Macaca fascicularis: one gene and its partners. The protein of the gene in region 4 interacts with the protein of the main gene of each other region in a pairwise test. Links are inferred from orthologs where the notes say so. Each region holds a gene or a part of one and is shown on either strand. Other genes may lie near its edges.

Region 1 (4,217 bases), on a different chromosome or scaffold from region 4:
AGGAGCATGGCAGAAAATGCCCTTGCCCCGAATGTTTTGCAGGGACTCGGGCAGGCCACCAACAAACCTCTGCCCTTGGGGCTGGGGCTGGAGTCATCTCTGGGTTCCACGTCGTCATACAGCTCGTAGATCTCATCTGGGATCCTGCGGGGATACCTGAGATGAGGCCTCTTTTTTTTTTTTTTTTTTTTTGAGATGGAGTTTTGCTCTGTCACCCAGGCTGGAGTGCAGGGGCGTGATCTTGGCTCACAGCAGCCTCCGCCTCCCGGGTTCAAGCGATTCTCCTGCCTCAGCCTCCCGAGTAGGTGGGATTACAGGTGCCCCCCACCACGCCTAGCTAATTTTTTTTTTTTCTTCTGAGATGGAGTTTTGCTCTTGCTGCCCAGGCTGGAATGCAATGGCATGATCTTGGCTCACTGCAACCTCTGCCTCCCAGGTTCAAGCAATTCTCCTGCCTCAGCCTCCCGAGCAGCTGGGATTACAGGCATGCGCCAGCACGCCCAGCTAATTTTGTATTTTTAGTAGAGACGGGGTTTCACCATGTAGCCCAGGCTGGTCTTGACCTCTGACCTTAGGTGATCAGCCTGCCTCGGCCTCCCAAAGTGCTGGGATTACAGGCGTGAGTCACTGCTTCCCGCCGAGATGAGGCCCCTTTGAGCCCCACAATCTGCACCCACCCCAGCTTCCTCCCCACACTCACGGCGGGATGTCTTCAGGCTGTCGGGGCTGGAAGTGGAGCGCAGCGGCCGAGCGGGTCCTCCGTAGATCTGTGGGGTAGAGAGTGCGGCAGGGAGGCCGGTACTGCCTGGGATCTCAGCCCCGCCTCCTGCCGGTGCCGCCCGCCCTCACCCACCTGTGGATGCTGCAGAGCGTCTCCGAAAGCTCTGCATATCCACGGGGCCCGGGGGCAGCGGAGGCTTGGCTGGAGGGGGTCCCAGGCTGCTGGCAGCGGGCAGAGGCCTCCGCCGGGGTGGATGGCTGGGTCTGAGGCCTGGCCTGGCCCCTCCACTGTGAACAAGGCCTCCTGACCTCCAGCGCCGTGTCCCAGCAACTCCAAACCCAGGGCTGAGCGGGTGCCGGGAGCTGGAGCCGGCCACGGCCGCAGGCAGTGAGCTCTCGGAAGCGGAGCTGGGGAGTAGAGGCTTTCGAGGGAGATCACCGAAGAACTCAGGCTGCGGGTGTCTCTTGAGGACAGCGTTGGGTTCAGGCTGTGAGAACTTGCGGGGTGGCCCCCGGCGGTCCGGCTGCAGCAACTTCCTGGGGAGGGAGTTGAACTCGGGCTCTGACGAGGTCCTGGGGAGGCCGCCCAGCTCGGGCTGCGGGGGCTTCTTGGAGAGCGCTTTGAATTCGGCGGGCCGCGGCCTCTTGGGAAGCACGCTGACTTCGGGCTCTGAGGAGGTCCTGGTGAGGTCCCCAAGCTCCGGCTGCGGAGGCTTCTTGGGAAAGTCACTCAGCGGAGGCTGGGAGGCTTTTCTGGGAAAGGCGCTGGAGTCGTGCTTCGGCTCACCGGACTGAGGCTTCCAGAGAGGAGTCTGAGCCGCCTCGCTGAACTCAGGCTGCGGCACGGACTTCTTAGGGAGGCCATCCGCCTGAGGCTGCGGGGGCTTTCTGGGGTGCACACTGAACTCGGGCTGCACCGGCTTCTTGGGAACGCTACTGAAGTTGGGCTTCGGGGAGTGGGGGAGGGACTCAGTGGCCTCAGGCTTCCAGGGCGGTGTCTGAGGGACGTCACTGGACTCAGGCTTCGGCAGGGACGTCTTAGGGAGGCTACCGACCTGAGGCTGTGGGGGCTTTTTGGGGTGCATGTTGACCTCAGGCTGCGCGGGCTTCTTGGGAAAGGTACTGAACTCAGGCTGCGGGGGCTTTGGGGTAGCCTCACTGGCCTCGGGCTGCCAGAGCTTCCTGGGGAATGCACTGGATTTGGGTTCAGATGGGGGTCTGGCGGGGTGACTGAGCTCGTCGGACTGCTGGGGTTTCCGGACAGGCGTATTGGGCTCCGGCAGCGAGGCCTTCACAGGGGCCTCACCGACCTCAGGCTGCGGGGGCTTCCTTGGAAATGGAGTGGCCTCCAGCTGGGGGAACTTCTTGGAGACGTCACTGAACTCCAGTTTGGACGGCTTCTTGGGGAGGTCAGTGAACTCAGGCGGCGGAGGCTTCTTGGGGAGGTCAGTGAACTCAGGCGGCGGAGGCTTCTTGGGGAGGTCAGTGAACTCAGGCGGCGGAGGCTTCTTGGGGAGGTCAGTGAACTCAGGCGGCGGAGGCTTCTTGGGGAGGTCAGTGAACTCAGGCGGCGGAGGCTTCTTGGGGAGGTCAGTGAACTCAGGCGGCGGGGGTTTCTTGGGAAGATCAGTGACCTCAGGCGGCGGAGGCTTCTTGGGGAGGTCAGTGAACTCAGGCGGCGGGGGTTTCTTGAGGTGCTCGCTTAGCTCAGGCTGTGGGAACTTCTTGAGTTTACTGAACTCAGGCTTCGGGGGTTTTTTGGGCAGGTCGCTGGGCTCCGGCTGAGAGGCCTGGAATTTTGCTTTGATGCTCCGGAAGTCCTGATGGCTCTCCTAGGAGACATACAGCCAATGAGGCAGGGGCTCAGACACACAGAAGGGGCATGGAAGGAAGGGACTGGGGACCCTCAGGCACAGCCCACAACCACCACCCCTGCACCCAGGCCCCATCAGCCCTCGGCTCTCTTTCTGAGGAGCCCCCATTGATCCTAGGATCCTGGAACCCACACCCCTCCCTACTTCTCCATTTAGTGCTGATTCCACACCCAACCTCCTCTAGCAGGAGTGGAACTGCTGACATCCCTCCTGCAGCCTCCAGTCCCACAGCCCTCCCCGCATGGGTGGTACCCCAACCCCCCAGCCTCCTTGACCCCCTCGTTCTTTCACCCCCACACTGCATGTCTCCAGTCTCATTCCATTGCCCAGGCTGGAGTGCAGTGGTGTAATCACAGCTCACTGCAGCCTCCAACTCCTGGGCTCCAATGATCCCCCAGCCTCCCGAGTAGCTGGGATTACAGGCTTGAGCCGCCACGCCCAGGCCTTGTTGTCCCTTCTGTGCTAATTTCAAAACACATCCGGAATCCAACCACTTCTCACTGCCTTCACCGTTGTCACCCCAGGAGGTAGTGGGAGGCAGCGTCTGCCCTCCCCCAACCAACTGCCTGGATTATTCTAACAAGCCCTTCCCCAGTCACTGCCTACCCCCCTCCCTGGTCAGTTCCCCCCATGGCAGCGGGAGGGAGAAGCCTGTTGAGCCCTGAGTCTGTTTGTGTCTCTCTGCTCAAAACCCGGCAATGCTTCCTCATGTCCCTGTAGTTCAAGCTAAATGCCTCATAAAGGCCTGGGCGAACCAGCCTCCCCACCTAGCCACCTCCTCCTCCCTGCACCCTGAACACTTCCCTCTGACCTCGGGGCCTCTGCCCTGTCCCTGACCCAGGACATGTCCCTGCACTACCTGGTTCTCTCCTCTTCCTCCTCCCAGTCTCTGTTCTCATATTTCCTTATTAGAGAGGCCGTCTGAGGCCACCCTATTTTATTTGTTTATTTTTACTTTTTTGAGATGGAGTCTTGCTCTGTCACCCAGACTGGAGTGCAATCCGTGATCTTGGCTCACTGCAATCTCCACTTCCCAGGTTCAAATGATTCTCATGCCTCAACCCTCTGAGTATCTGGGATTACAGGCACCCGCCACCACGCCTGGCTAATTTTTGTATTTTTACTAGAGACAGGGTTTCACCATGTTGGCCAGGCTTGTCTCAAACTCCTGACCTCAGGTGACCGCCCGCCTCGGCCTCCCAAAGTACTGGGATTACAGGTGTGAGCCACCGTGCCAGGCCTAGATCACCCTATTTTTCTTTCTTTTTTCTTTTCTTTTTTTTTTTTTTTTTTAAGACGGAGTCTCACTCTGTCCCCAGGTTGGAGTGCAGTGGCGAAATCTCAACTCACTGCAACCTCCGCCTCCTGGGTTCAAGCGATTCTCCTGCCTCAGTGTCCTGAGTAGCTGGGATCACAGGTGTCTGCCACGACGCCTGGCTAATTTTTTTTGTATTTTTAATGGAGACGGGGTTTTACCATGTTGGCCAGGCTGGTCTCAAACTCCTGACCTCAAGTGATCCGCCCACCTCAGCCTCCCAAAGTGCTGGGATTGCAAGGCATGAACTATCACACCTGGCCTAGACCACCCTATTTTAAATGGATCACCCCATCCCACTACTGCCC
Region 2 (3,963 bases), on a different chromosome or scaffold from region 4:
GCATAAAAAAAGACTTTGGGAAAATGTTGAAATTTGAAATCCTTACCTCTTTCCCTCGGAGTCCAGTTCCCAACAAGTAAACTTGACTTTCCTTCTGATAACGGATCTGGATGTTGTAAACTTTATCTTTGTACAACACCATGAGGACATATGGATTGGTTATTGTTTTTTTAGAGCTGTCTCTAACCAGAAATGTGCCATCCTAAAAAGATAAATTCCTGTTATTATGGGAGAGTAAAAGTCAATATTTTTGTTGCTTGCAAGAATAGTAGACCAGCCTCCAGGGATCTGACAAACATGTCAGTTGCACTTTGCAGCTTCTTGAGTGCAAAACCCGTCATTCAACGAACATTCAGTTCTCCACACAGCTACAGATCCCATGTGTCATGAGTTATTTTGTTGTTAAGAAAGGCAACAGAGATTGTATCAGAGAAATTTCCGAGTCAATCTCGTTAAAGTCTCTTATAAAAATGGAATCTTTTGTTCCCTAATAAATAATGGGTGGTTGAGTGGATAAAAGGCCAGGAGAAATAAAAAACTTTATTGGTTAACTCAAGATATATCTTCCTACTATTCCTGTGAGTTAATTCCCTAACCTTTCTCTTCCACATCCAAAGTCAGAAAAGACCCAAATGCCGTGAAATTCACCCTTCTTAAAACCTTGTGATCCCTAGATAGTCTTTCCTTCATCAGACACTTGAACAAAATTGAATGCAGATGTTCTCTTTTCTTTTCTTTTTTTCTGATATTTGCTAAACTACTGTTTTGATTGTCCTGTACTTTAAATTTCCATTCAATAAATTATTGCTACATAATATTAATGCTATAAAGATCTAATATTAAGATAGAATTAATTGGAAAGGACTCCTTTAAACTACTCCCTTCTCCTCATACCAAATCAGGATAGCTTTAAATAGCCATGAGTTGGCAATAATGGCTTTCCTTTGTTCGTTTTATTGCAAGTTAATTGAGCCTGTCAGAACATCTCTGCTAAACAAACATACTTCTGGATCAGTGATTCACAGTCTTGGCTTCAAATCAGAATTACCTGGGAAGTTTTGAAGACTCCAGAGCTGACACAGCACCCCAGAATAATTAGAATCTTAAGGCGAGACTCAGGAATCGGGATTTTTCAAAAGTTCTCCAGGTGATTTAAATGTGCAGCTACTACTGAGAACTACTGGTGTGGAGTTTAGATGTGAAAGATGAAAGAGTTTTGCTTTCCCATTTCCGATAAATAAATTTAAGGTAAAGTGTCGGCACTGGCTACGGGAGATATGTTCAAGACTTTATGTATTAAAGGACTAGCTAGAAACGTCTAGGGCAAAAAGCAAAAAGTTGCTGCCGTCTCTTTAATATCGGTCCTTTCACATCAACAAGGATGGCACATCTGTGTTAAGAGGAAGATAGAACTGGTACCATGTTGGAACTTTGGGGGAAGGAGAGCCTCCTTCTGACACCGTGTGATTCGTATGACAAGACAAACTCTTTCATTAATCAAATCTCCTAAGATTCTGCCAGCCAAATGACTGCCTTGAGATTCTTCTGCCAGCCTAATGATTCCCGAGCCTAGGAATCCCTGCTATGGGTGCTGATAGTTGTGAAGCTGGCACTAATGGGTCTCCTAGGTATCACAGTTAGCAACAGCACTTAGCAGAATTACTAGCCTGTAATGGGTACTCAGGACAAGTCAGTTCCCTTCTCTGCCATTAATATTTATAACTATGTTAAAATAAACTATAGCACAATACCTGGTTTATCTTTCTAAGAGCAGCTTCTGCCTCTGGTCGGGTAATATAAGAAACGTACCACTCTTCATTTAATGAATTCTGAAAATGTAAATTTTTAGAAACTGAATAAATTTTACAGTTACAGATGTAAGTGAAAAGAAAAGCTTCTGAGTAATCATTTCCATAAATCACCACCTCAATTCCAGGAGGTTTGAAACATTTGTTTTCTTAATTTGCATTCAGAGTCATTTAGCTGAGGCTAAATAGAAGACATTTTGTGTGAACTGCTTTTTATCATGACGCTGGTTGCAAAAATACCTGTGAATAAGTGTTCCTTACAGTATGGAACCTCTAATCAGGAAAGATGCAGATACAGTAATTTCTTCAGTTTAGCATAATAACCTGCTTGATAAAAAAACTGGTTTATCGAGCAGTTAAGTGATGAATCAAGGTCATAAACATAAAAAACAGGATTATTTTTCTTGCCATTTAATGCAAAACACACGTTTGCCATTGAAAGAGTCTGAAAGAATGCCAAGGAAAAAGAACATATTGTTCATCTGGATCTTCTCCTTTAACTTTTTTTCGAATAAATAAAATAAAACAAACGGAAGATAAAAGTATAGAAGAACATTCAGTGGGAGTTTCTGGTGATTCTTTTACCAGGGAAAAAGCAAACAAACAAAAATAAAAACATATACTTTCTTACCTCTTCTTCCGCGGGGGATGGGGGCCGAGGTTTGTTTGGAAGTGGCAAGGGGAAGTTTCTGCCTTCGGCTCTGATAGGTGCTCTGTTGCTAGGGCCTTCAAAAGTACAGAGTTCTGAAAGTTAATTTACTGTAAGCTATTGTTTACTGCTATCAAAACACATTCCCGCCCCCCCCCCCTCAAAATACCCTTGCGGTTGGTCCTACTGTTAGCATTTTAAGAAACCAGGGCTTCAAAAATAATTTTCTTCCGTTTGAAACCATGGAGGCTACTCAGGCATTATTCTGTAATCATGCCAGTAAAACTTTGAGAAGAGAACCTCAACTTGGAGTGATTTTCTAAATGTGCATGTTGCATAATATAAAGTGACTAGATCCCTTTACTAAAAAATTCACAATTGTTTTAATGAGTGTGAACATTAAAATGAATGCTCAAGAGACATATCTTTCATAGATTCTTATAATCTCAGCATAGGCAGAATGGATTCCCAACAGCTGATGTAGGGACAGGCAGTAATGAAGATAATTATGTTCTTAATATTTCCACAAAAAGAAATGTAAGTGACCCAAGAGAAGATGAAATTACCTTGAGAATATTGCTAGCTTTTAGAATCAAATATTGCTACCTGCTGTTCTAACTGAACAGGTAGAACTGTTCAACTCACATAGAAGGCTCTACAGATCAGGAAGTTTGTGTTGGGCACCTATTAATTACCCAGCGCTTATGTCTCATCTTCTCTAAAACTCTTTTTTCTCATTTACAATTCCTTGAAACTTTAGGAAAAAGTTTCCGAATCTCAGGAAAGGTTTAGTTGTGTTTGTTGCGGTTGCCCAGGGTATTTTCTGTGTGCCAGGCTGTGGTTAAAGACAGAAAAATTCTGTGAGTCGAATGTTCTCTTAATTATTCATCCATCATTCATTCATACCTTCAACAAATATGTATTCAGTACAACTCTGTCCAGATCTTGAGTAAGGTACTGTGTGTACATTTTTTTAATCCTCACAGCAACATTACAAGGTAGGTATTGTCTTCATTTTGCATATGGGGAAATACAGGCTCAGAGGCTAAGCAAATCATGTGCTATCAGTGGCAAAGCCAAAACTTAAACCTGTGGTTACCAAATGTTACTGTGCATGAGTCAGAATCACTGGGCGACTTTCAAGCACCTAGGGCCCAGAAATCTGCATGTTAGCAAGTACTTCTGGTGGTTCTACACCAGGGATTGTCACTATGTCTACCTTGTTACACCACTGAGGAGAGGAGAGTCACCTGGAAGGGCTAAAGCCTCCTGAGCCACATCGTCAAGATTATTTATGATGGTCCTTCCTTGTTTCTAAACAAGTCTCCTGAGCCACATCACCAGGATTATTTAGGATGCTCCTTCCCTGTTTCTAAACAAGCTGGCCCGGAGCTGCCAGTACCTTCCTTCTTCAAGTTCCCAGTACCTAGACAGACCTTCCCCATCCCACTTTTTTTGTAGTCAAACACTTGCACTTTTATAATGCTTGTTGAATGAATGAAACCT
Region 3 (4,666 bases), on a different chromosome or scaffold from region 4:
CAAAGTTTTTTAACAAAAATTAGCTCCCCATACAGACATGTGCCATGCTTATTTCATAATTGTATTGCATTTTCTAGAATATTGACACAGTCTCCTGGGATGTATATATCTCAATTTGAAAAACATGGCTTATAGTTCACTGTCTTTCCCCAGGAGGTTTCATATGAAGGATACGTAATCACATTTTAGAGTCAGGGAAACTTGGGTCTACAGACAAAGAATAAATTATTTAGATTTTTAGAGCTCTCAATTATACTATTACAATGAGGATTCAGGACGATCAGTTCTTGTATCTAGAAGCAAACCAGTTGTCATTTAATAGATAGCTATAAAATTCACTCTTCCAGTTAAGTATTACAATAAAAAGATGACTCATATCCTTAAAAAATTTAGTAATCAACATGAAATGAAAGTCTAGTAAATGTAGCTGTCATTTGGCAAAGCATCCATGTAAGGAAGAGCTTCTCCCAAGCCCCAAAATCACAAGTTCGTGGAAAAATCACAGTTTACCATTTGTACAGTGGTAAGCTGGAAACACTTAAGGAATATAACTGATAAAGACTTTTGATTAAGGCCAGGTGCATTGGTTATGCCTGTAATCCCAGCACTTTGGGAGGCCGAGGCGTGTATATCACCTGAGGTCAGGAGTTCGAGACCAGCCTGGCCAATATGGTGAAACCCCGTCTCTACTAAAAATACAAAAATTAGTCAGGTGCACACGTGTAGTCCCAGCTACTCGAGAAGCTAAGGCAGGAGAATCACTTGAACATGGGAGGCGGAGGCTGCAGTGAGCCAAGATCGTGCCATTGCACTCCAGGCTGGCAAAAAGAGCGAGACTCCATCTCAAAAAAAAAAAAAAGCAACAACAAAAATGACTTTTGATTCAGAAGTGAACTTGGAACAACTCCAGCTATGTATGCAGCAATTAATATATAAAAATCTTTATTTCAAAGTCCCTAGCCAGAGCAAATGGAAAATGATCAACAAATGGTCTAGAAGCAGGATAATGACAGAAAGTGAAGCCAAGTGAAACCAATAAAGATTTCCCTTGGACTGCAGGGCCAAAGATTTGATCCCCTCACTCTTAAGAAATGGTGGGAGTTGATGCCTGAACCATATAGGATGCTCTCAGTTAAACAATGTTTGCTTAAGTTGACTGCTTAGTTCATTCCACAGTATGAGCTCAGTCATTCAAAACATATTCTTTGTTTTGTTTACATAGTCCCCAGGAATATGAACCTCTCAGGTATTTCATCATAATTCTGGTAGTCTGAGAAGGCAGTCAGGTAAGCATCACCTACAGAATGGCATTCGGGGCGAGGGTGTTCTGATTGTACAGACCACAGCTAACACACATACATCAGATCCCCTCCCTGCTGAGGGGCTACTGGATCCTGAGATGAAAATCTCATAAATATAATAAATGGCAACACTGATTCCACAAGCCACAAGTTGGAAACATATGTCTATGTCTTCCATTATGTCTTAGTCACACCATACACAGTATAATATTTCCACATATTGCTGGATAACCACAGTCTGTGATGGAGTGTGGTTCGTTTATTGCTACTACATATTTTATAATAAAAAGTATTTGAAAAAAATATTGAGAAAATTCAGTAAGACAAAAGACAAGCAATTTGGCTTCATGTTCTGGTTCTGCTACTCTGATCTTCACAAGTTACTTAACATTTATGCTTTGTTTTTCTCATCTAGAAAATTCAGGCATTAGACTAGATGGGCCTATGCTCCATTTCAGTTGAAATATTCAGTCAATTAGATCTAAGATTTACACGAAGCTAACATTCCAATAAAAATTCTGACCTGTTGTTGGCATTCTCTGCATATCCCAACATTTAGGATCATCTGAATGTTTTACTAAAATTTTTACTGTTGTCATTTCTCAGTTTTCTCAAATTGATGTTTCTGATACTTTAAACACTGGAGCACCGCAAATATTAGGAAGGCTATATCTACGTTATAAACTGTGGAAGTGAAAGACAGTTTTAAATGTAATCACATTTTATGAAAAATAAAATTACCCACACATGCTATGCTTTAGTTTTCTGGTTACTATAAACACTTGAAAGCCAAGTTATAAAATTCTTCGGTAAACCTCTGGGAAATGAGCACTGAGCACTGGTGTGCCTAAACCCCTCTCAGACTGCAGGTGACCTGGTCAGCAATAGGAAGCCATGAGAACTCAAGTACTAAAGATAGAGCCAAGTATGCTGTGGGGGCGCCTCTCTGGAGGACACAGACCTGCAATTTGCAAGCTGTGAGTGGCCCCTGCATTTGAATTCCACAGCTCTGTATCATAAATAGAAATGATTAAAAAAAAAAAAAAAACACAAACCAGACAAGTCAGCTTAACTATTAATTACAAAAGAACTCTTCTATCCTTACCAAAAGTCTCCCAAAACTGGTTTTTCAGGACTAGGCTATGAATAAAGTTTGAAAATTGCCCCCATATATATTAATCACTCCTTAGGTTAGAATGCAGAATATACTGTAGAGAAGTTGGCCAGATGCCCACAGATCATATATACCCCTATTCTGCCCCCACACCCTGCCTTTACTCCTTGGTACTTTCAAGTAAGAAATGGCAATTTTCTTATTTGGGGAAGATAGGGTGGAGACAAAAACCTCATAAAAATAAACCTCTCTCTCTCATAGCTCAACAACTTGCAATATTTTTAGCAGTAGAGAAAAAATATGACTTATTAACTATAAAGCAATATTTGAGTTCACTATTTCACTAAAAGCATCATTTATGAAAACAGAAAGTTCCTTTAAAAAATGTTTGTATAGTCACTTGAGAAAATAAACCAGCAGGTGCTGGTCCCTTCGCTTAAATAATTTATTATCCTTTGTGTGGCAGGATTCACCAGCTGACAGCTCCCACCCAGAAAATCAAATAGGTGCTCATTTCTGTGATGCCCGTAATGTGTAAAGTTGCCAAGAAGTTCAATGCAATGTGGCCTAAAAGTACAGCAAGGAAGAGCAGAGCTAACAGTCAGCTGGAGGCTGTCAAAATTTATAGGAAGAAAAGACAAAGATAATACTGTAAGTTCTAATTTTAATCATTTGAAAGGAACACAGAGAAAGCTGTGCACATACAGCAGATGTATTTCTGTTTGCAAGTATAATTCAACTTACCTCTATTGAGCAGAAAACCAGGACTTTTTGGCTAACCGGCCTGTAGTGATTCCCTGGGAGGATCTGACTGAAAGAAATGGGAACCTAGAGTTTATTCAGTGGAGTCTCAACCTCTACCTGACTGTATTAATGAACAGTTCAGAGGTTTCTTTCTCAGCGGCTGAGTCACTCAGGGAGGAGGTCTGTGGTATGCAACAGGGTGTCACCTTGTACAAATACCAGTTCAATTAAAACAGTCTCACTCGTGAACCTACGGCCTTTGTTTGGTGAATTCTTTAACTTACGGCCTTGTTATGCAAATATATATATATATAGATACGCTCCTGTGATTGCCCTTTAACTGATATCAACAATATGCACAACCATATCACTGACAAGGTGGCATAGGACCCAATCTATTTTGCATTCTCTTTCAAAAAATAAAACTGAAAACTCAATAGAAGGAACCCCCATATGCCCACAGTACCTGGAAGGCAGGGGCACAGACAAGCATGCAAGGAGTACATGGCTTAAAGGAAACTTCAAGACAAACAAGTTCTCAAAAACCCAGGAACCCTAGGATCAGAAAACACGAAAGAAGTCTGTTCCAAACATTCTACACCTAGAATATTTTGTAAAACTATCAAAGGGAAAATACACCTAGCACATAAGAATTCTAATCTCTATCTTATTTATCCATGTATAAAAAAATGTGAAAAAGGGCCAGGCGTGGTGGCTCATACCTGAACTTTGGGAGGTGGAGGCAGGCGGATCACCTGAGATCAGGAGTTCAAGATCAGCCTGGCCAACATGGTAAAATCCTGTCTCTACTAAAAATACAGAAATTAGCTGGGTGTGATGGCGCACACCTGTAACCCCAGCTATATTTAATAACAGTAACATACCATGATAAAGTCATAGACAGAAATTTTCAATGCCAGGCATCGCATAGGGGAGAGAAGGAAGAACCTGGAAGGTGATGTTGATGCAGAGTTTTAAAGTCTTAGTAGACAGTGATTAGATGGTCAAGAAGAACCATTCATCCACTCTGGCAGGAGGAGGCAGGAGAATCACTTGAACCAGGGAGGTGGAGGTTACAGTGAGCCAAGATTATGTCACTGCACTCTAGCCTAGACAACAGAGTGAGACTCTCGCAGAAAAAAAAAAAAAAAAAAATGTGAAAAGGATGGTTGAAACTTCTCTCATAACTGAGGGCAGCAGTAGACCCAATGTCAAAGGCTGCTTCTGGCCAGTTGCAGTGGCTTTCATTTGCACTTTGGGAGGCCAAGGTGGGAAGATCACTTGAGCCAAGAAGTTTGAGACAAACCGGGCAACACAGTGAGAGAGATCTCATCTCTACTGAAAATAAAATATCAGCTGGGTGTGATAGTGCATGTATTTGTTCCCAGTTACTCAGGAGGCTGAGGCAGGAGAGTCTCTTGAGCATGGAAGGACCAAGCCACAGTGAGCTGTGATCACACCACCGCATTCCAGTCTGGGTGACAGAGTGAGACCCTATCTCAATAAA
Region 4 (4,851 bases):
GCTAATTTTTGTATTTTTAGTAGAGACGGGGTTTCTCCATGTTGGTCAGGCTGGTCTCAAACTCCCAATCTTAGGTGATCTACCCGCCTCTGCCTCCCAAAGTGGTGGGATTACAGGTGTGAGCCACTGCACCCGGGCACTATTATTATTATTATTATTATTACTATTTGTCGTTGTTGTTGTTGAGATGGAGTCTCGCTCTGTCGCCCAGGCTGGAGTGCAGTGGCGCGATCTCCACTCACGCAACCTCCGCCTCCTGGGTTCACGCCATTCTCCTGCCTCAGCCTCCAGAGTAGCTGGGACTACAGGCGCTCGCCACCACGCCTGGCTTTTTTTTTTTTTTTGTATTTTTAGTTGAGATGGAGTTTCACCGTGTTAGCCAGGATGGTCTCGATCTCCTGACCTCGTGATCCGCCCGCGTCGGCCTCCCAAAGTGCTGGGATTACAGGCGTGAGCCATCGCACACTGCCATTATTATTATTTTTTAAGTTTCACTCATTGCCCAGGCTGGAGTGCAGTGGCGTGATACCCGCTCACTGCAACCTCCACCTTCCTAGGTTCAAGTGATTCTCCTGCCGCATCCTCCCGAGTAGCTGGGACTCCTCCCGAGTAGCTGGAACTACCACAGCTGATTTTTTGTATTTTAGTAGAGACGGGGTTTCACCATGTTGACCAGAATGGTCTCCATCTCCTGACCTCGTGATCCGCCCGCCAGTGATCTCGGCCTCCCAAAGCGCTGGGATTACAGGCGTGAGCCACCGCGCCCGGCCTAATTTTTGTAGTTTTAATAGAAACGGGGTTTCGCCCTGTTGAGGCTGGTCTCGAACTTGGGGGCTCAAGTGATCCACACGCCTGGGCCTCCTAAAGTGCTGGGATTACAGGAGTGAGCCACAGCGCCCCCGGCCGAAACTATTCTACTATTCTTAAAACTTTCTTTCGTTTCTTTCTTTTTTTTTTTGAGACGGAGGCTTGCTCTGTCGCCCAGGCTGGAGTGCAATGGCGCGATCTCGGCTCTCTGTAACTTCTACCTCCCAGGTTCAAGTGATTCTCCTGCCTCAGCCTCCCGAGTATCTGGGATTACAGGCGCGTGCTACCACGCCCGACTAATTTTTATGTTTTATTAGATGCGGGGGTGGGGTGGTTCACCATATTGGCCACGCTGGTCTCGAACTCCTGACCTCAGGTGATCCGAGGACCTCAGGTGATCCACCCGCCTTGGCCTCCCAGAGTGCTGGCATTACAGGCGTGAGCCACCGCGCCTGGCCAAAACTTTCATTGTATCACAATCTCTTCAAGGCAAGAGCTATGACTTAAATCTACTACAGCACAGTTACAGATTCTTAAAAGATAGGCGATGCATGCGCGCAGACAGTAAAGCTCAGCGCGTGCGCACCGAGCACCTTTTTCCTTGCGGCGACTTCTCTTCTTTTTTTTTTTGGAGCGTGCGCACCAAGAAAGACAAAGGTGGGGAAAGTGACCAAGCAGTCGTTCAGGCGCATGCCCATCCCTAACTTGTCCGAGCCCGGTGGGGCCAGCGGCGGCGGCGTGGGTGTGGCCTGAGCGCTGTGTGACTGTGCGGCCGCCGCCCAATCGGACTGAGCGAGCCCGGCCCCTCCCTCCCTCTGATTGGTTGGTTCTCAGGGTTGTGGGGCGCGGAAAGGAAGAGACGGGGCTGCTGGGCGGTGGGGCGGTGGAGAAAGAAGGCTAATTTTGTTCTGCGCAAGCGCGAGCAAGCGACCAGGAGGGGGCGTGAGAGAGTGAAAGGGAATGTGGAAGCCCCGATGCGCTGGCTAGCGCTAGCTGGGGCTCTAACCTTGACGCCTGCGCCGTGGCCCTCGGGGCCCCGCGCGCAGCGGGCGGGTGCCCGGTGCGCCTGCGCAGTAGGAGGCGGTGGCAGGGGGAGGTGGAGGCTGTGGAGCGGCAGCGGCAGCAGCGGGTCCCGGGACTGAGGCAGCAGCGGGGGCGGCGGCAGGCGGAAGCTGAGGTGACGAAGGCAGCGGCGGCGGCGGCCGTTTCCCTCACGGTGGCGGAGACCAAGGCGGCGGCGGCGGACGGGGAGCGGCCCGGCCCCGGCCCCCTGCTCGTTGGCTGTGGCAGGGCCGCCGTGGGGCCGGCCCGGCTCCCGCCCCCCGCGGCTCCCCCTCCGGCTCCTCCTCCGGGGAGACGCCGGGGGCCTGGCCCGGCCCGCACTCAGACTGCTGCTGCAGCCGCCGCCGGGGGAGTCGGAGGCGGTGGCGGCGCCATGGGCGGCCTGGCCTCTGGGGGGGATGTGGAGCCGGGACTGCCCGTCGAGGTGCGCGGCTCCAACGGGGCCTTCTACAAGGTGAGACGGCGCGCCGACTGGGGACGCCGGTCCTTAGCCCCCTCCCCCGGCCGGAGCAGGAACGCGTGGGGCGGGATCGAGCTTCTGGAGCTGAGTCCTGGCCCTTAGAATCTTAGACCCTTGCTCCCACCCGCAGCCTTCCCTGAGAGACCTCTTGGAGTGAACCTGTTCCTTTTATTTTTGAGCCCTTTAATGCACCTGCTTCTACCCCCATCTCAGGGAGAATGAACTTCAGGCCATTATTGTCCCTGGCTTGGCGCTCCCCGCTCCCCAGGAGAGACCCCTTTACCCAGCTTCTAATTGACTGTTTCCGTTGTCTGATGGAAGACATACCTTAGACCTTAATCACATCTTCCCCACGGTCCAGGCACATGGAGAATTGTCTTTCTTCTGCACGGTCCCCTTGGGAAGGCCCCCTCTGTCCCATATCGGATCCTTTCATCTTCCTCAGAGAGGCCTCTGCCTACTGACTCTGGAACACTCACCCCACTTTCAGCTTATATTCCGGTTCCCAAGCCAAGGAGAAATGGTCAGATCCATTTACGACGTTTGGCATCTTTGACCTCAGGAACCCTGGGTTGGATCAGTCAAGTTGCTTCTCAGCCAGCCATAAGGTGGCATCTTTCGCAAGTCTTTCACCCCACCACACCTTGATCTCAAGGCCCACTGGTCTACCATTCTACTCAGAATGGATTTGAGGTCTCACTTAGACCTCAGATACCTTCAGGTCATTCTTAGAGTTTCTTCGTCTTGAGGCATGTGAGCTTCATAGTCATGATCTCTAAAAGGATCTCTAAAAGGAAGCTCATGGGGTTCCCTTCTGTTTTTCTTAAGATTTCCACTTCTTGAAGACTCTTGGCCAACTATCCCAGTTCGGGAATCTGACAACCTTTTTTGGAAGAAGGGATCATCTTTCAAAGACCTTTCCTTATTTGACCTCCCCCTTTGCCCAGGATTTGGTTCCTTAGAACTCCTTATAATACCACCTTCCTTATCTGCTCTGAATCCATTTTCTAGGACATTTTTTTCCCATTTGGATTAAGCCAGAGAGAACCCTTTCTTGCCTCCCAAGAGTTTTTCTTCGACTGTTGCTATTCTGAACCTCTTTTGGATTTGATGCCTGGAATTGTCCCAGAGACTCTCCTGATTTCTGTCTCATTCTTTGATTTCACCTTGGGGAGCTGTAGAAGAGATACCTTCCCATGGCATTACTTGTTAAGAGTAGATCCCCCTTCCCCCTTTCCTTCTGTTCCCCTCAGGCCTTTCCCCCCCACAGTAGCCCTCTCTAGTTTCTCATGCCCTTGGAAGTGTCTTTCTTTGACTCCTTCCCTAAGTCATATTTTCTGTAACTGTAGAGGGTCTTGTAATTTCCCTTGGGTGGTTTCTGCCTCTACTTCAGTTGCTAAGTTCATTGTAGTCTTTTTTTTTTTTTTTGAGACGGAGTCTGGCTCTGTCACCCAGGCTGGAGTGCAGTGGCACGATCTGGGCTCACTGCAAGCTCCGCCTCCCAGGTTTACGCCATTGTCCTGTCTCAGCCTCCTGAGTAGCTGTGACTACAGGCACACACCACCACGCCCGGCTAGTTTTTTGTATTTTTAGTAGAGACGAGGTTTCACCGTGTTAGCCAGGATGGTCTTGATCTCCTGACCTTGTGATCCGCCCGCCTCAGCCTCCCAAAGTGCTGGGATTACAGGCGTGAGCCACCGCGCCATTGTAGTCATTTTTTACTTACTCTTCATACTTACCCATTTTTGCCTTACTTCCCTCATCAGATTTCTTTCTGTGCGGTGACTTTGGGTACCCATGTCTAACTTACTGTCTCAATTCAAGTTTTTGGCTTTTTCTCCTAATACTTCTGTATTCCTGTGTAATCCCCAGGGATCACCTAATTCCCTGTCTAGCTGAAGGAAGCTCCCTGCTGATCTCTTTTGTCATTTTCTGCATACTTGCCTAACTCTTGGGACTTTTTCTTCTAGCCTGCCTCCATAGCATTTCTGTTTTTTTTGGCAAAAGTCTCTAATTCCTTTCTGCTTTTGATAGAGCACATTTATCTCTCATATCCTTTTCCCCAAACTTGCACTACCTTTGTTGAAATACGCCTCCTAAAGTGGCCCTCCCTGTTTCCCTCGGTATCTTTTCCTTCATCTGGGTCCTTACCACCCCAAAATTCTGAGTTCCAAGAAAAGTCATTCTTAAGTTGAGTCCAAGATCAAGATATGATGTTTGCTTTGTTCTAGGAAGCACAGGAGCCCTGCACAGCTGGGAAAGATTGGTATCCAGTTCAAATGAACTGTATGAGATGGCTGGGAAGGGACACGTTTTCTGTTCTACATATAAGTGTCCAGCAGAAAGTCTCTCTGAATCTTTTCCCTTTCTCCTGTGCGCTGTGGGCAATGATAGACTTGAGTACATGGGGACCAGGATACTCTGATTCAGAGAGTAGAGTCTGGGGTTGAGCTGAAAGCCAGGTAATGTGGTAATGTGGATCTGGGCAGGTTAGCATTTTCTGCCCCGTTCCTGAGTTAAAA
Region 5 (4,041 bases), about 48 Mb from region 4:
CATTTCTATCTTGTCTCCATTAAAGCAACCAAATCAATATCCTAACAAATCAAAGCTACTTACAAGACCTCCTGCTTCATTTGAGGCCATCCCAGGGACCCAGGCCTACTGTCTACCTAGCTTTTCTGATTTTCGGAGGAATTACAACTTCCCACACTCCCCCATTCACTGAATCCCCAAGAGCTTCTCAAGAACAGGATGGATATGTTTTTATTTAAGAGACTGGTCTCACTCTGTCACCCAGGCTGAAGTACAGTAGCATGATCATGGTTCACTGCAGCCTTGAACTCCCGGGCACAATCCTCCTGCCTATTATGCCTTCCCCATAGGTAGAACTAGAGGTGTACAGCACCAGAGCTAATTTTTCTTTTTTTTTGTAAAGTCAGTGTCTTGCTGTGTTGCCCACGCTGGACTTGTACTGGCCTCTAGCGATTCTTCCCCTCAGCCTCCTGAATAGCTGGAATTAAAGGCATGAGTCATTGTACCCAGCCTAATTTTTTTTTTTTTTTTTTTTTTTAGTGAGACAGGGTCTTGCTCTGTTACCCAGGCTAGTCTCCCACCTCAGCCTCCCAAGTAGCTGGTATCACAAGCACAAGCCAGCACACCCAGCCCTCATGTATTATTTCTGATGAATCCTCTGCACCTAGTCCAGTCTTGGCCATGTAGCAGATGCTCCATAGATGCCTGTTGAGTAGCTCCGTGCCAAGAGTGGAAGGGACGCAGGGGTTAAGAAGGGCAGGCAAAGAATGCCTGTGTGTATGTGAGATCTCAATATAAATAATTTTTATAGTATTTACATTCTCTATTAGGTCAGGTTATTCAGTGTACATGAAAAGAAGAAAAAAAAATACAACAATACAAAGTAACCAACTCAATGAATCCTAAGTTGGGAGGAAGCATTTTAATCAGATGGTAGGGGATGGTAACACTGTACAGGGAGCACTCACAGCTCCAAGAGCTTCCTTCCAAATTATGACGAAGTTCCTTTAAATAACTAGATTTCCTAGAGCCTGGTCCTCTGCCCATGGGAAGGAGGAGAAATGGATGTGAAAGCATTGTAGCCTGCTCTCCTGTCATTCATAGATCCAGTTCTGAGCACAGCTCATGTAATCTACCAGTTCCTCAGGGTGAAACCACAAGCTGATCTCCTTCTCTGCACTCTCCACGGAATCACTGCCATGTATAATGTTCCTGGGTGGAGAAAGAGACAGTCACATGACCAAGACCAGAAGGATTAAAATGCGCCCATTGCCAGAAATCTACAGCCACGGCAGCATAAAAGCTGAAGCTCCATGGACATTAGACCATGTTAAAAGAAAAATCCTACAATGGCCATTCATGTAAGGGTGAAAAATGCCCTCCCCACATTCAGCCCTCCCGGTCACACTGGTGCAAACAGTAAGAGCCTTCAGGAAAGACTGTGGCCAGCAAAGTGTGTTGTACCAGGTTCTACACTTCGTGTAACGGAGGTACAACTACAGTGATTTTAAAAACCAAAGCCAAACACCAACTTAAGGGGGAGGAAAACAATAAACTCCGATAAAATCAACCTGCATATGGTATCATGTCTACCTCCAGCCTCAGAAACCCAAATCCTTGTGGCAACTAAATCAGATTTTGGAAAAGGGGGAAAAAGAGCAAAATCTCACCTGCCAACTTGTATGCAGAAGTCGCCACGGATGGTCCCAGGCTTGGAGTCCGCAGGGTTGGTCTCCCCGAGCATGACTCGGCCTGTCTTCACCACATTCAGCCCCTCCCAGACCTCCAAGGACAGAAGAAGATATGGTCAAAGAAGAAAACCCATCTCAGCAGAAAATCTGGCAACTATTAATCCAAAAATAGGAAAAAATAAAAAGGCCCCTTAAGATGACATTCATTCACTGAACAAATATTTAGAGTATCCACTTATTCCAGCACTAGGGATCCTGGTCTCCCTGCCCTGATGCTTGCCTTTCTACAATGTACTCTCCATTCAGCAACCAGAGCAGCCTCCTTAAAATGCCAAGTGTGGGCAGGGCGCGGTGGCTCACACTTGTAATCCCAACACTTTGGGAGGCTGAGGCGGGTGGATCACGAGATCAGGAAATCATGACCATCCTGGCTAACACAGTGAAACCCCGTCTCTACTACAAATACAAAAAAATTAGCCGGGCGTGGTGGTGGGCACCTGTAGTCCCAGCTACTCAGGAGTCTGAGGCAGGAGAATGGCGTGAACCCAGGAGGCGGAGCTTGCAGTGAGCCGAGATTGTGCCACTGCACTCCAGCCTGGGTGACAAAGCGAGACTCCATCTCAAAAAAAAAAAAAAAAGGCCAAGTGTGAAGTGTCCCATAGCTTCCCAGCACTCAGGAACTACATGGTCAACACACCCCTAAGAGAGGAGGCCCCTGCCCATGCCTCTGAACTCTTCACATCCCAACTTCTCTCCCACCCATCAGGCTTCGGGCATTTCAATTCTCCTCCCATACTTCAAAAAGCCAAGCTCATTCCCACCCTGGGACCTTTGCACATGCTGTTTGCTTGGCTGGAAATGTTTTTCACTGTGATTCTGTACATAGCTGGCTGCTTCTTGTCATTCAGATCACAGCTTAAAATTTGCATTCTTTGATCATCCATTCTAAAGTGATCACTTGCTACTCCTATTCATTTCTGGGCCTATCACTAACCATTAGCTGATATATGAAAATAGATATCTATTTGGTCTCACTCATGACTGTATCCCCAGTGTCTAGAAGAGAGCCTAGCGCAGACGACAAGCAATGCATACTTGGAGTATCTCACACAGGCACACTCACCATGGCAACTACCGGCCCTGAGTGCATGTATTTCACCAGGCCAGCAAAGAACGGACGGTCCTTCAGGTCAATGTAGTGTTCCTTGAGAAGGTCTTCAGAGGCCTATTCAACAGGACGGAGAATGAGAATGGCCCCAAACCATCTAAGAACATACAATCCATGTAAATTCCCCTCATCCACCCTGCTATGTAAAACATGAGTGGTTGGGCTCACTGATTCTGTTATAACCCAATTCACTCTCCACACTGGAAGGGAGCAGTGACAGGACTAAAAGTACTTCTCCAATTTTATATCAATTGTCTCCCTATTGGCATTGACTGATAATAAAACCACAGAACATTAAAATTAAATTCAGCTATCTCATTTTTAAAAACCTCAAACTCCTGGGCTCAAGTGTTCCTCCTGCCTCAGACTCCCAAATAGGTAGGACTGTAGACACACACTACCAGACTTGGCTAATTTTTAAAATTTATTTATTTATTTTGAGACAGAGTCTCCCTCTGTCATCCAGGCTCGAGTGCAGTGGCGCGATCCTGATTACTGCAACCTCCACCTCCCAGGTTCAAGTGATTCTCCTGCCTCAGCCTCCCAAGTAGCTGGGATTACAGATGCCCGCCCACCATGCCCAGCCAATTTTTGTATTTTTAGTAGAAACAGGGTTGTTGGCCAGGCTGGTCTCAAACTCCTGACCTCAGGTGATCTGCCTGCCTCGGCCTCCCAAAATGCTGGGACTACAGGCGTAAGCCACCACGCCCAGCCATACCTGGCTAATTTTAAAAAATTATTTGTAGAGATAAGGTCTCACTATGTTGCCCAGGCTGGTCTCAAACTCCTGGACTCAAGTGATCCTCCAGCCTCGGCCTCCCAACGTGCTGGGCTTACAGACGTGACCCACCATGCCTGGCCCTCAACCATCTCATTTTAGGCAGGAAAATCAACAATACAATAAATTTCCATTCCCAGAGCAAACCCCAAATAAAATGTTAGAAGGACACCAGGGAGCAAGTCTTGGCATTTGATGAGCAGCAAACTAAACCAGGCCATTACCCAGGGATGCTTCACGTTTACTCAGAGGATAAAAGCCCAGCGTGATGACCGTGTGATTCCCAAAGGTATCTGCAAATCACCCAAAAGTAAATGACATCTAGCAATACATAATTCTGCTGAAAAATGGAAAATTAGCCGGGCGTGGTAGCGGGCGCCTGTAGTCCCAGCTACTCAGGAGGCTGAGGCAGGAGAATGGCATGA
Region 6 (2,988 bases), on a different chromosome or scaffold from region 4:
TCGCTTGAGGTCAGAAGTTCAGGACCAGCCTGGCCAACATGGTGAAACCCCATCTCTACTAAAAATATAAAAATTAGTCGGGCATGGTGGCAGGCACCTGTAATCTCAGCTACTCAGAACACTGAGGCAGGACAATCACTTGAACCCAGGAGGCGAGTTGCAGTGGACCGAGATCATGCCACTGTACTCCAGCCTGGGTGACGAGTAAGCCTCTGTCTAAAAAGCCATCTGTCCACTGGGAAAACATAGGAAGGACACAATACTTGGGAAGGAAGTGCACTGTCACCCTGGCAGAAGGAAAGCAGGGCAGCTCTGAGTGAGCACGGGGAGCACAAGGAAAGCAGGGCGGCTCTGAGTGAGCACGGAGAGCACAAGGAAAGCAGGAGGCTCTGAGTGAGCACAGAGAGCACAAGGAAAGCAGGAGGCTCTGAGTGCGCACGGGGAGCACAAGGAAAGCAGGAGGCTCTGAGTGCGCACGGGGAGCACAAGGAAAGCAGGAGGCTCTGAGTGCGCACGGGGAGCACAAGGAAAGCAGGAGGCTCTGAGTGCGCACGGGGAGCACAAGGAAAGCAGGAGGCTCTGAGTGAGCACGGGGAGCACAAGGAAAGCAGGAGGCTCTGAGTGCGCACGGGGAGCACAAGGAAAGCAGGAGGCTCTGAGTGCGCACGGGGAGCACAAGGAAAGCAGGAGGCTCTGAGTGCGCACGGGGAGCACAAGGAAAGCAGGAGGCTCTGAGTGAGCACGGAGAGCACAAGGAAAGCAGGAGGCTCTGAGTGAGCACGGAGAGCACAAGGAAAGCAGGAGGCTCTGAGTGCGCACGGGGAGCACGAGGAAAGCAGGAGGCTCTGAGTGAGCACAGAGAGCACAAGGAAAGCAGGAGGCTCTGAGTGCACACGGGGAGCACGAGGAAAGCAGGAGGCTCTGAGTGAGCACGGAGAGCACAAGGAAAGCAGGGAGGCTCTGAGTGAGCACAGAGAGCACAAGGAAAGCAGGAGGCTCTGAGTGCGCACGGGGAGCACGAGGAAAGCAGGAGGCTCTGAGTGAGCACGGGGAGCACAAGGAAAGCAGGGAGGCTCTGAGTGAGCACAGGGAGCAGAAGGAAAGCAGGGAGGCTCTGAGTGAGCACGGGGAGCACAAGGAAAGCAGGGAGGCTCTGAGTGCGCACGGGGAGCACAAGGAAAGCAGGGAGGCTCTGAGTGAGCACGGAGAGCACAAGGAAAGCAGGGAGGCTCTGAGTGCGCACGGGGAGCACAAGGAAAGCAGGGAGGCTCTGAGTGAGCACGGGGAGCACAAGGAAAGCAGGCGACTCTGAGTGAGCACGGGGAGCACAAGGAAAGCAGGAGGCTCTGAGTGAGCACGGGGAGCACAAGGAAAGCAGGGAGGCTCTGAGTGTGCACGGGGAGCACAAGGAAAGCAGGAGGCTCTGAGTGAGCACGGAGAGCACAAGGAAAGCAGGGAGGCTCTGAGTGCGCACGGGGAGCACAAGGAAAGCAGGAGGCTCTGAGTGAGCACGGGGAGCACAAGGAAAGCAGGGAGGCTCTGAGTGTGCACGGGGAGCACAAGGAAAGCAGGAGGCTCTGAGTGAGCACGGAGAGCACAAGGAAAGCAGGGAGGCTCTGAGTGCGCACGGGGAGCACAAGGAAAGCAGGAGGCTCTGAGTGAGCACGGGGAGCACAAGGAAAGCAGGAGGCTCTGAGTGAGCACGGAGAGCACAAGGAAAGCAGGGAGGCTCTGAGTGAGCACAGGGAGCAGAAGGAAAGCAGGGAGGCTCTGAGTGAGCACGGAGAGCACAAGGAAAGCAGGGAGGCTCTGAGTGAGCACGGGGAGCACAAGGAAAGCAGGGAGGCTCTGAGTGCGCACGGGGAGCACAGCCACCCTGCAGCCTGCTGGGAACGCCGTGGGCTTGGACTAGTGAGTCGGTGGTGACGGCTCACCGGGAAGCTCTAGGCTTCCCCAGAGATTGTTTCCCTAAAAGGTATCATTTTCCCCGTAGCGGATGCTGACTCACTAGTGACCTGTTTCACACCTTTTACACCTTCTGCTGAGGATACATATTTGATCCACTGCCTTGGAAGTGAGGCTGGGTTTTTTCATTTCACTTTATGAATGGAATTCACTTTGCCTGAGCCAAGCCATGTATCTACCGGAAGCCCTTCAGTCCTCATCAGGATGAGGATTCATTCTCGTCTGATCTCAAAAGAGATTCATTCTCTTTTGCCATAGCACTGGAAGGGCTCTCAAGAGACTATTTTTATCTTTAGTTGATATCATCCGGCTTTACCTTTAATCCGCAAAAGAATATGCCACAGACACACGTAGCAACGTAGCATGGAGCGTAACAGCTCGCAAAACTCTCTTCTTCCTAAACCAAATCGTGTGGGCTGCAAGTGCAATCTGCTCCTCACTCCCCCTCCAAAGGACACCCTTACCTTTCCGCTGGGGCTCTTCTTGTTAGCAGGGTACAGAAATATCCCTCCGTAGACCAGAGTGCGGTGAACATCGGCCACCATGGAGCCCACGTACCGGGCTCCATAGGGGGCTGAATTATCCTGCACGTTAAGACCAGCAAGAATTAGCAAATAAGACAGAGTTTTCTTTGTGTCCCTGAGTTTCTTTGATCCCACATCCATTCACCAAGCACCTACAAGGTGTGTACTTGGGGCTGTGCTAAAAAATGGATTCGAATCCTGTTCCCAATAAATGGAAAATGGAAAAATGGAGACACAGAAAATGGAAAAACGGAGACAGCGTCTCACCATCTCCCAGTAGGTCAGATTCCCACCGAAGCCCCAGCGAGGGTCTGGTTGGTTCTGGCTATGGGGCTGAGGCAGGCATTACAAAAACTGTGCCATTTAGTAACACCTCAAAGGCTGAGGAAGTTTGTTACCAAGCTAAGGAACTGGGCAGGGGTGGGAGGCAGCGTGTAATTTACAGGAGAGGAAACTGCACGAGCATCTTCTTAGCAATGTAGAGAGGGAAACGGGCCTG
Region 7 (4,714 bases), on a different chromosome or scaffold from region 4:
GAAAGTCTTGCTATTTAGGACGCCAACAAGGTGGAAACACCACAACAGGCTTTTGGTCTGGCCAGTCTTGGCTGTTGGTTCAAATGTCTTCAGCTGTGCATGTTTTCTACTTGAACTATCTCCTCAGAGGACTGCTGCTACAAGTTCCAGGAAGGCAGAGCCCAAGACACATCCTCCTACTCTCCAGTCCCCAAAGATGATACTTTCTGAGTTAGGCAGGAAAATAAATATCCCCCCCGGCACAGTTATCCAAATAACTGGATGAGTGTGGGGTCTCAGAGTCTTGGCTAACGAGACGTGAAGGGACAGAACATGCTTTGTAAGGTGACCCCATCAGCCTCAGTCTCAGAAAACTCTGTCCCGCCCTGGTGCCATACCCTGTTGAAGTCTTTGAAATGAAACTGCTTGAAGATGGCATCGCGGCCTTCCAGCTCATTCCACCCCACGGCCCTCAGGTTTGGCAGCAGCTGGTCCCTCTCCTCAGCACTCAGCCTGTGTGCTTTGCCAGCCTAGAAGAGGGGAAAAAACGAGGCCCAAGAGCATTTCTTTTTATAGGTCAAAACAGGGGCTCCAGCCTTTAGGGGAACTTAGCCAGCCTCCACTGGCTGCTTTGGACGTGGGTGACCAAGGGCAGCAGGTCTTTGAGCAATAAGCTGGAAGCCCTCAAGGGTGGCACTCTGCCCAGGAGGTGGGGTCCAGGCTTGTCCGCTGATAGGCTCTCAGGTCTTGGGTTTTACACTCCACACAGAGAAAGGAAATCCCAAAAGCAATGCAATTCATATGACGGGGACAGAGACACTCTTCCCCTACCCTGCCCTCAAAGCCTTACAGACCTTCCCCTCCATAAGATCTATTACATCAGTGAGGGCGTAAAAGCAAAATAAATCCCAGATGCAAATATATTACTCCACAACCTCTGAGGAAGAGTACCATGCCTGTCCCCCCTTCCTTTTCCTATTATGTACTTTATCATATGCACCCCACGTCCCTACGGTAACTTTCATGTGTATTGAAGAGCAAACAGGCCTAGAGAGGGGAAACGACTTGTCTGCTGTTCTTTCCTGCCCTCCCCTAGCCAGGGATGGCGCAGTGTTGTCTGTGTGTCAGCATCCCTGGGGCTGGACAAAGGAGCTGCATTTAAAATAAGTGTCCAGCCCATTCTTAGCCACACTGTAGCTGACCGTGTTGGCACTACCTCTAGTAGGTCCTCAGTCATGCTCCCAGGCAGCCTCTGGTCCTGAGCCGCCAGGGCTAGGTTCTCCGGTTTTCCATCTGCTTTTCTGGCTGGTTGGGAAGCTCAGGCCACAGAACTCAGTCCCCAAAGTGGAAGGAACTTGGCCAAAGGCAGCTGGCAAACGTAGTGCCCTGTCCTATTTACCTAATGTGCAAAGTGCCCTCAACGCAGCCCAAATTGGCACAATTCAGGCCATGAGTGGAACCTCAGAGAATGCAAGGAAGCAAGGGTCAGTTTCATCCTAGGAGGATCCAGGTCTAGGACCTTAACGGATCCCAGAACCTAGGCTTCTAGAGTAGCACCACCCCAGGGCAGAAATAGAGTGCTGAATTGAAAAGAAATACTTAGGGGTGAGGAGGGAATGTGAGGGAGGTTAATTTAGCTTTTATGAGGCAGCCTGCAGACTGAACACCATGTGTTGATTGGCAGGAAGTTTGAGCCCCGCTTTCACCATTTACCAGCCAGGTGGCTGTACCTCTCTTGGCAGAACCTCTACCTCCACAGATCATCATGAGGTGCCAATGGGACACTTTAGGAAACTCCACTGCTATAAAGCAAATGTCATCTGCATTACAAAAAAATACCTCCTAAGGCAAGTAGGCTTGTGATGGGCCTGGTAGCATTTGTGGTAGCTGAAGCATCGCAGTGCTTTCCTAAGTCCGTCTTTTTTCCCTCCTGTTTCCCTCCTGAAAACGTGAGCTCTCTCCGGACTGAGGGAGCTTGGCCCCTCTCCTCTCCTCGGCTCTAGATGGCTACAGGGATTGAATGGCAGCAGCGATTTGCATCATCTGCCCAGTAGGGAGGTCTCTACTCCAGAGCTGGCCCTCTCCCCGTGGCTGACTGCCTGGTCCGTGTATCCAGACAACCAGAAGTCAGCCAAAGCATCAGAGCCCACTGTTTACTTCCTTGGCTCTTAAAGGGGTGGGTGAGTCCAGGTGAGCTCTTAGGAGGCTTCCCTTTCTCGGTAGAGCCTTCTGGAACCCCCCAAGTCGCAGAGCCTGGGGCTGAACTGACAAATCTTCCAGGTGCCGGCTCTGGAGAGGGGGACGGTGCCCTGTTTGCTTAGTAAATCCCCGCCAGGTCTTGCCTCCTCTGGCGAGGTGTGGGGAGTGGTCGCCGATTTCCCAAGCCTGCATCTCTGGGGGCCTCAGCGCCCCTCACAAACAGCCCCACTCATCCTCCCTCCCCCAAGTCCCTCTCCCATCAAAAGGCCCTCCCAGTCTTGCCTGCTCCGAAGGCCTGTGGGCCAGAAACGGTCTGATGAAGCTCCCGAGCTTACATCAGAGCAAGGGGCCCGCCCCCGCCCCGGGGGTAGGTGGGGGAAGCTAGCCCGGGAGGAGGGCTGCTCCTGCGCCACCAAGCCCCCGCGGCCGGGCACGGGCCTCAAACCGGCGCGGGGGCTGGCTCTGGAGCCCGGGACTGCACACGGGCTCAGAGCATGAGTCCCAGGCGGACAGACCCTGTGTCCAGAGTGCGAGCGGGAAGGGGCGCGGACGGGTACGCACAGGAGCGCGCAAACTCAGCCTGCCTCTCGCTCCCACCCCAGTATAAAGCCGAATCGGGCCACTAAGGGGACGAGATCTGCGGACTCTCCCACCACGGTCCTCCCCGGCCCTGTAAGGTCGTAGGCCCCGCCCCCAGCAGGGTCCGGGAACAAGCACTGGCCTGGGTCAGGGCAGGCCTGGCCTCCCAACTGGCTGGGACCGGGACCCGCCATGCCCCTCTCAGGGCCTCAGCTTCCCCTCCCCGCCGCCGGCGACAGGGACCCGGGCAGAGACCCCACTCTCGGACCCCGGCGGCTCCGCAGGAGGCTCGAAAAGACCCTCCCCCGCCCCGTCCCGCTCCCACCTCGCCCGCTGCTGCCCCGGCCCCGCTGCCCCGATCGCGGCGGCGCACCCCTGGACTCACCATGGCGCGGGCGGCAGCAGGTGGCCGGCGGAGAGGGCAGGCGGCGGCCGGGCGCGCAGGCGGCCGTCCCGGGGCGGGGCCGCGCTCGGACCGCCCTCCGGTAATGATTAACGTCCCCAGCCAGGGACGCGCTCGGCCTGCTTCCTTCCAGCACTTTCCTCGCTGCTCAGAGCCAATCCTCCGAGCTTGTTTCAGGGAGCTAGGGTGAAGCATGAGGGCTCCAAATGCCCACTTCAGGGTTGGAATCCCAGCCCGCCGCTTACAGCTGGGTGGCCCTGGGCGCCAGAATACCTATTTATTTCTTTATAAAAATCTTTTATTTGGATAGAATTGACATGCAATAAGTTGCACATATTCAACGTGTACAATTTGATGAATTTTAATGTTTCCCTCGTGAGACCGACACTGAGATCAAGATTATGAACATATCAAGTTTCCTTGATGACTAATGATATTGAATATCTTTTCATGTACTTATTTGCTAAGGATAAGTCTTTTTTGGTGAATAGCATGTTTGAATTTCCTGCCCATTAAAAAAGAAATTGGGTTGTTTGTTTTCTTACCGAGTTTTGAGGGTGTTTTTTTTCTGGATATAAGGACATGATCAGGCAGTGCTTTTCAAATATTTTCTTTGAATTATCTTACGCTGCCTTTCAAAGAGCAAACGTTCTTAATTTTGATGAAATCCAATTTATCAAATGCTTCTTTGATAGATTTCTATTTTGATGTTGTACGCATAGAAATCTTGGCCTAACACGAGATCACAAAAGTTTTCTCCTATGTTTTAGAGCTTTGGGTTTTACATTTAGTCTGTGATCCACGTTGAGTAAATATTTTTGTATGCTTCAAGTTATAGATCCAGATTCACTTTTGCACATGGAGATTCAGTTATTCCTTTCTCCACTGAATTGTCTTCGCACCTTTGTAAAACATCAATTGATTATATATGTGTGGGTTTATTTCTGAGCCCTTTCTTCTGTTCCATTGATCTGTTTGTCCATCATGACAGGACGCTACCTTGTCTTGATTATTATAGCTTTATAATAAGTCTTAGAGTCAGGTTAGAAAAGTCCTCTCACATTTTACATTTTTTCTGTTACCTTTTATTCTTGTACTCCATTTTTATTCCCCCCCGCCCGCCGCCACGGCCCATAGCAGCCTCTCTAATGTGTTAATGTGTATTTTTGTTTGCACATGTTCTTGCAAAATGTGTGGTGTTGTTTCGTCTATATGTATTTTTAAATTTATGTAAATGGTATTATGTAAATATATTACATTTCTCAGTCTGTTTCTTACAAAACAGAGTATTTAGTGGAAAATTAAGATCTACCCATGTCGCTATATGTATATTCAATCTGTAGCTTTTAACTGCGGCCTAGTATTTTGTAATGAGAGTCTGCCGTGGTTTCTTGTTCTATCAGTGATGGATACTTAGGTTCCCTCCAACTTTCTGCTGCTACCACCACCTCCCAAACCCGTGAGTATGTGGGCACACACACACATACACACACAGAGTTAAACAACAATGCTGCTGTAGTGAACATCTCTAATAGCTCCCGGGGCTGTGGGCAG

Evidence for each region.
Region 1: the proteins of FXR2 (region 4) and PRAM1 interact in binary tests that used the Homo sapiens proteins (3 or more experiments, as listed by UniProt). The two-hybrid records come from large-scale screens. The link is inferred for Macaca fascicularis from reciprocal best matches to the Homo sapiens genes FXR2 and PRAM1.
Region 2: the proteins of FXR2 (region 4) and LCP2 interact in binary tests that used the Homo sapiens proteins (3 or more experiments, as listed by UniProt). The two-hybrid records come from large-scale screens. The link is inferred for Macaca fascicularis from reciprocal best matches to the Homo sapiens genes FXR2 and LCP2.
Region 3: the proteins of FXR2 (region 4) and SCEL interact in binary tests that used the Homo sapiens proteins (3 or more experiments, as listed by UniProt). The two-hybrid records come from large-scale screens. The link is inferred for Macaca fascicularis from reciprocal best matches to the Homo sapiens genes FXR2 and SCEL.
Region 5: the proteins of FXR2 (region 4) and nucleoside diphosphate kinase A interact in binary tests that used the Homo sapiens proteins (3 or more experiments, as listed by UniProt). The link is inferred for Macaca fascicularis from reciprocal best matches to the Homo sapiens genes FXR2 and NME1.
Region 6: the proteins of FXR2 (region 4) and FBP1 interact in binary tests that used the Homo sapiens proteins (3 or more experiments, as listed by UniProt). The two-hybrid records come from large-scale screens. The link is inferred for Macaca fascicularis from reciprocal best matches to the Homo sapiens genes FXR2 and FBP1.
Region 7: the proteins of FXR2 (region 4) and PCBD1 interact in binary tests that used the Homo sapiens proteins (3 or more experiments, as listed by UniProt). The link is inferred for Macaca fascicularis from reciprocal best matches to the Homo sapiens genes FXR2 and PCBD1.

The regions. Positions count from the first base shown.
Region 1 is NC_088393.1:9,191,145-9,195,361, forward strand, and holds part of PRAM1 (PML-RARA-regulated adapter molecule 1), read right to left. Parts: intron 2,983-4,217; exon of another isoform or gene 2,913-2,982; coding exon of another isoform or gene 2,886-2,912; intron 2,553-2,885; coding exon 854-2,552; intron 768-853; coding exon 701-767; intron 145-700; coding exon 68-144; intron 1-67. UniProt on the Homo sapiens protein: May be involved in myeloid differentiation. May be involved in integrin signaling in neutrophils. Binds to PtdIns(4)P.
Region 2 is NC_088380.1:177,056,602-177,060,564, forward strand, and holds part of LCP2 (lymphocyte cytosolic protein 2), read right to left. Parts: intron 2,535-3,963; coding exon 2,440-2,534; intron 1,830-2,439; coding exon 1,752-1,829; intron 203-1,751; coding exon 47-202; intron 1-46. UniProt on the Homo sapiens protein: Adapter protein primarily involved in signaling pathways within T-cells, as well as other immune cells such as platelets, mast cells, and natural killer (NK) cells.
Region 3 is NC_088391.1:68,554,717-68,559,382, reverse strand, and holds the start of SCEL (sciellin), read right to left. Parts: upstream 3,279-4,666; 5' UTR 3,160-3,278; intron 1-3,159. UniProt on the Homo sapiens protein: May function in the assembly or regulation of proteins in the cornified envelope. The LIM domain may be involved in homotypic or heterotypic associations and may function to localize sciellin to the cornified envelope.
Region 4 is NC_088390.1:7,664,240-7,669,090, reverse strand, and holds the start of FXR2 (RNA-binding protein FXR2), read left to right. Parts: upstream 1-1,877; 5' UTR 1,878-2,242; coding exon 2,243-2,323; intron 2,324-4,851. UniProt on the Homo sapiens protein: mRNA-binding protein that acts as a regulator of mRNAs translation and/or stability, and which is required for adult hippocampal neurogenesis. Specifically binds to AU-rich elements (AREs) in the 3'-UTR of target mRNAs.
Region 5 is NC_088390.1:55,546,150-55,550,190, forward strand, and holds the end of nucleoside diphosphate kinase A, read right to left. Parts: intron 2,896-4,041; coding exon 2,794-2,895; intron 1,763-2,793; coding exon 1,650-1,762; intron 1,192-1,649; coding exon 1,074-1,191; 3' UTR 883-1,073; downstream 1-882. UniProt on the Homo sapiens protein: Major role in the synthesis of nucleoside triphosphates other than ATP. The ATP gamma phosphate is transferred to the NDP beta phosphate via a ping-pong mechanism, using a phosphorylated active-site intermediate.
Region 6 is NC_088389.1:128,465,373-128,468,360, reverse strand, and holds part of FBP1 (fructose-1,6-bisphosphatase 1), read right to left. Parts: intron 2,550-2,988; coding exon 2,430-2,549; intron 1-2,429. UniProt on the Homo sapiens protein: Catalyzes the hydrolysis of fructose 1,6-bisphosphate to fructose 6-phosphate in the presence of divalent cations, acting as a rate-limiting enzyme in gluconeogenesis. Plays a role in regulating glucose sensing and insulin secretion of pancreatic beta-cells.
Region 7 is NC_088383.1:75,544,077-75,548,790, reverse strand, and holds the start of PCBD1 (pterin-4-alpha-carbinolamine dehydratase), read right to left. Parts: upstream 3,196-4,714; 5' UTR 3,146-3,195; coding exon 3,143-3,145; intron 2,710-3,142; exon of another isoform or gene 2,461-2,709; intron 510-2,460; coding exon 378-509; intron 1-377. UniProt on the Homo sapiens protein: Involved in tetrahydrobiopterin biosynthesis. Seems to both prevent the formation of 7-pterins and accelerate the formation of quinonoid-BH2. Coactivator for HNF1A-dependent transcription.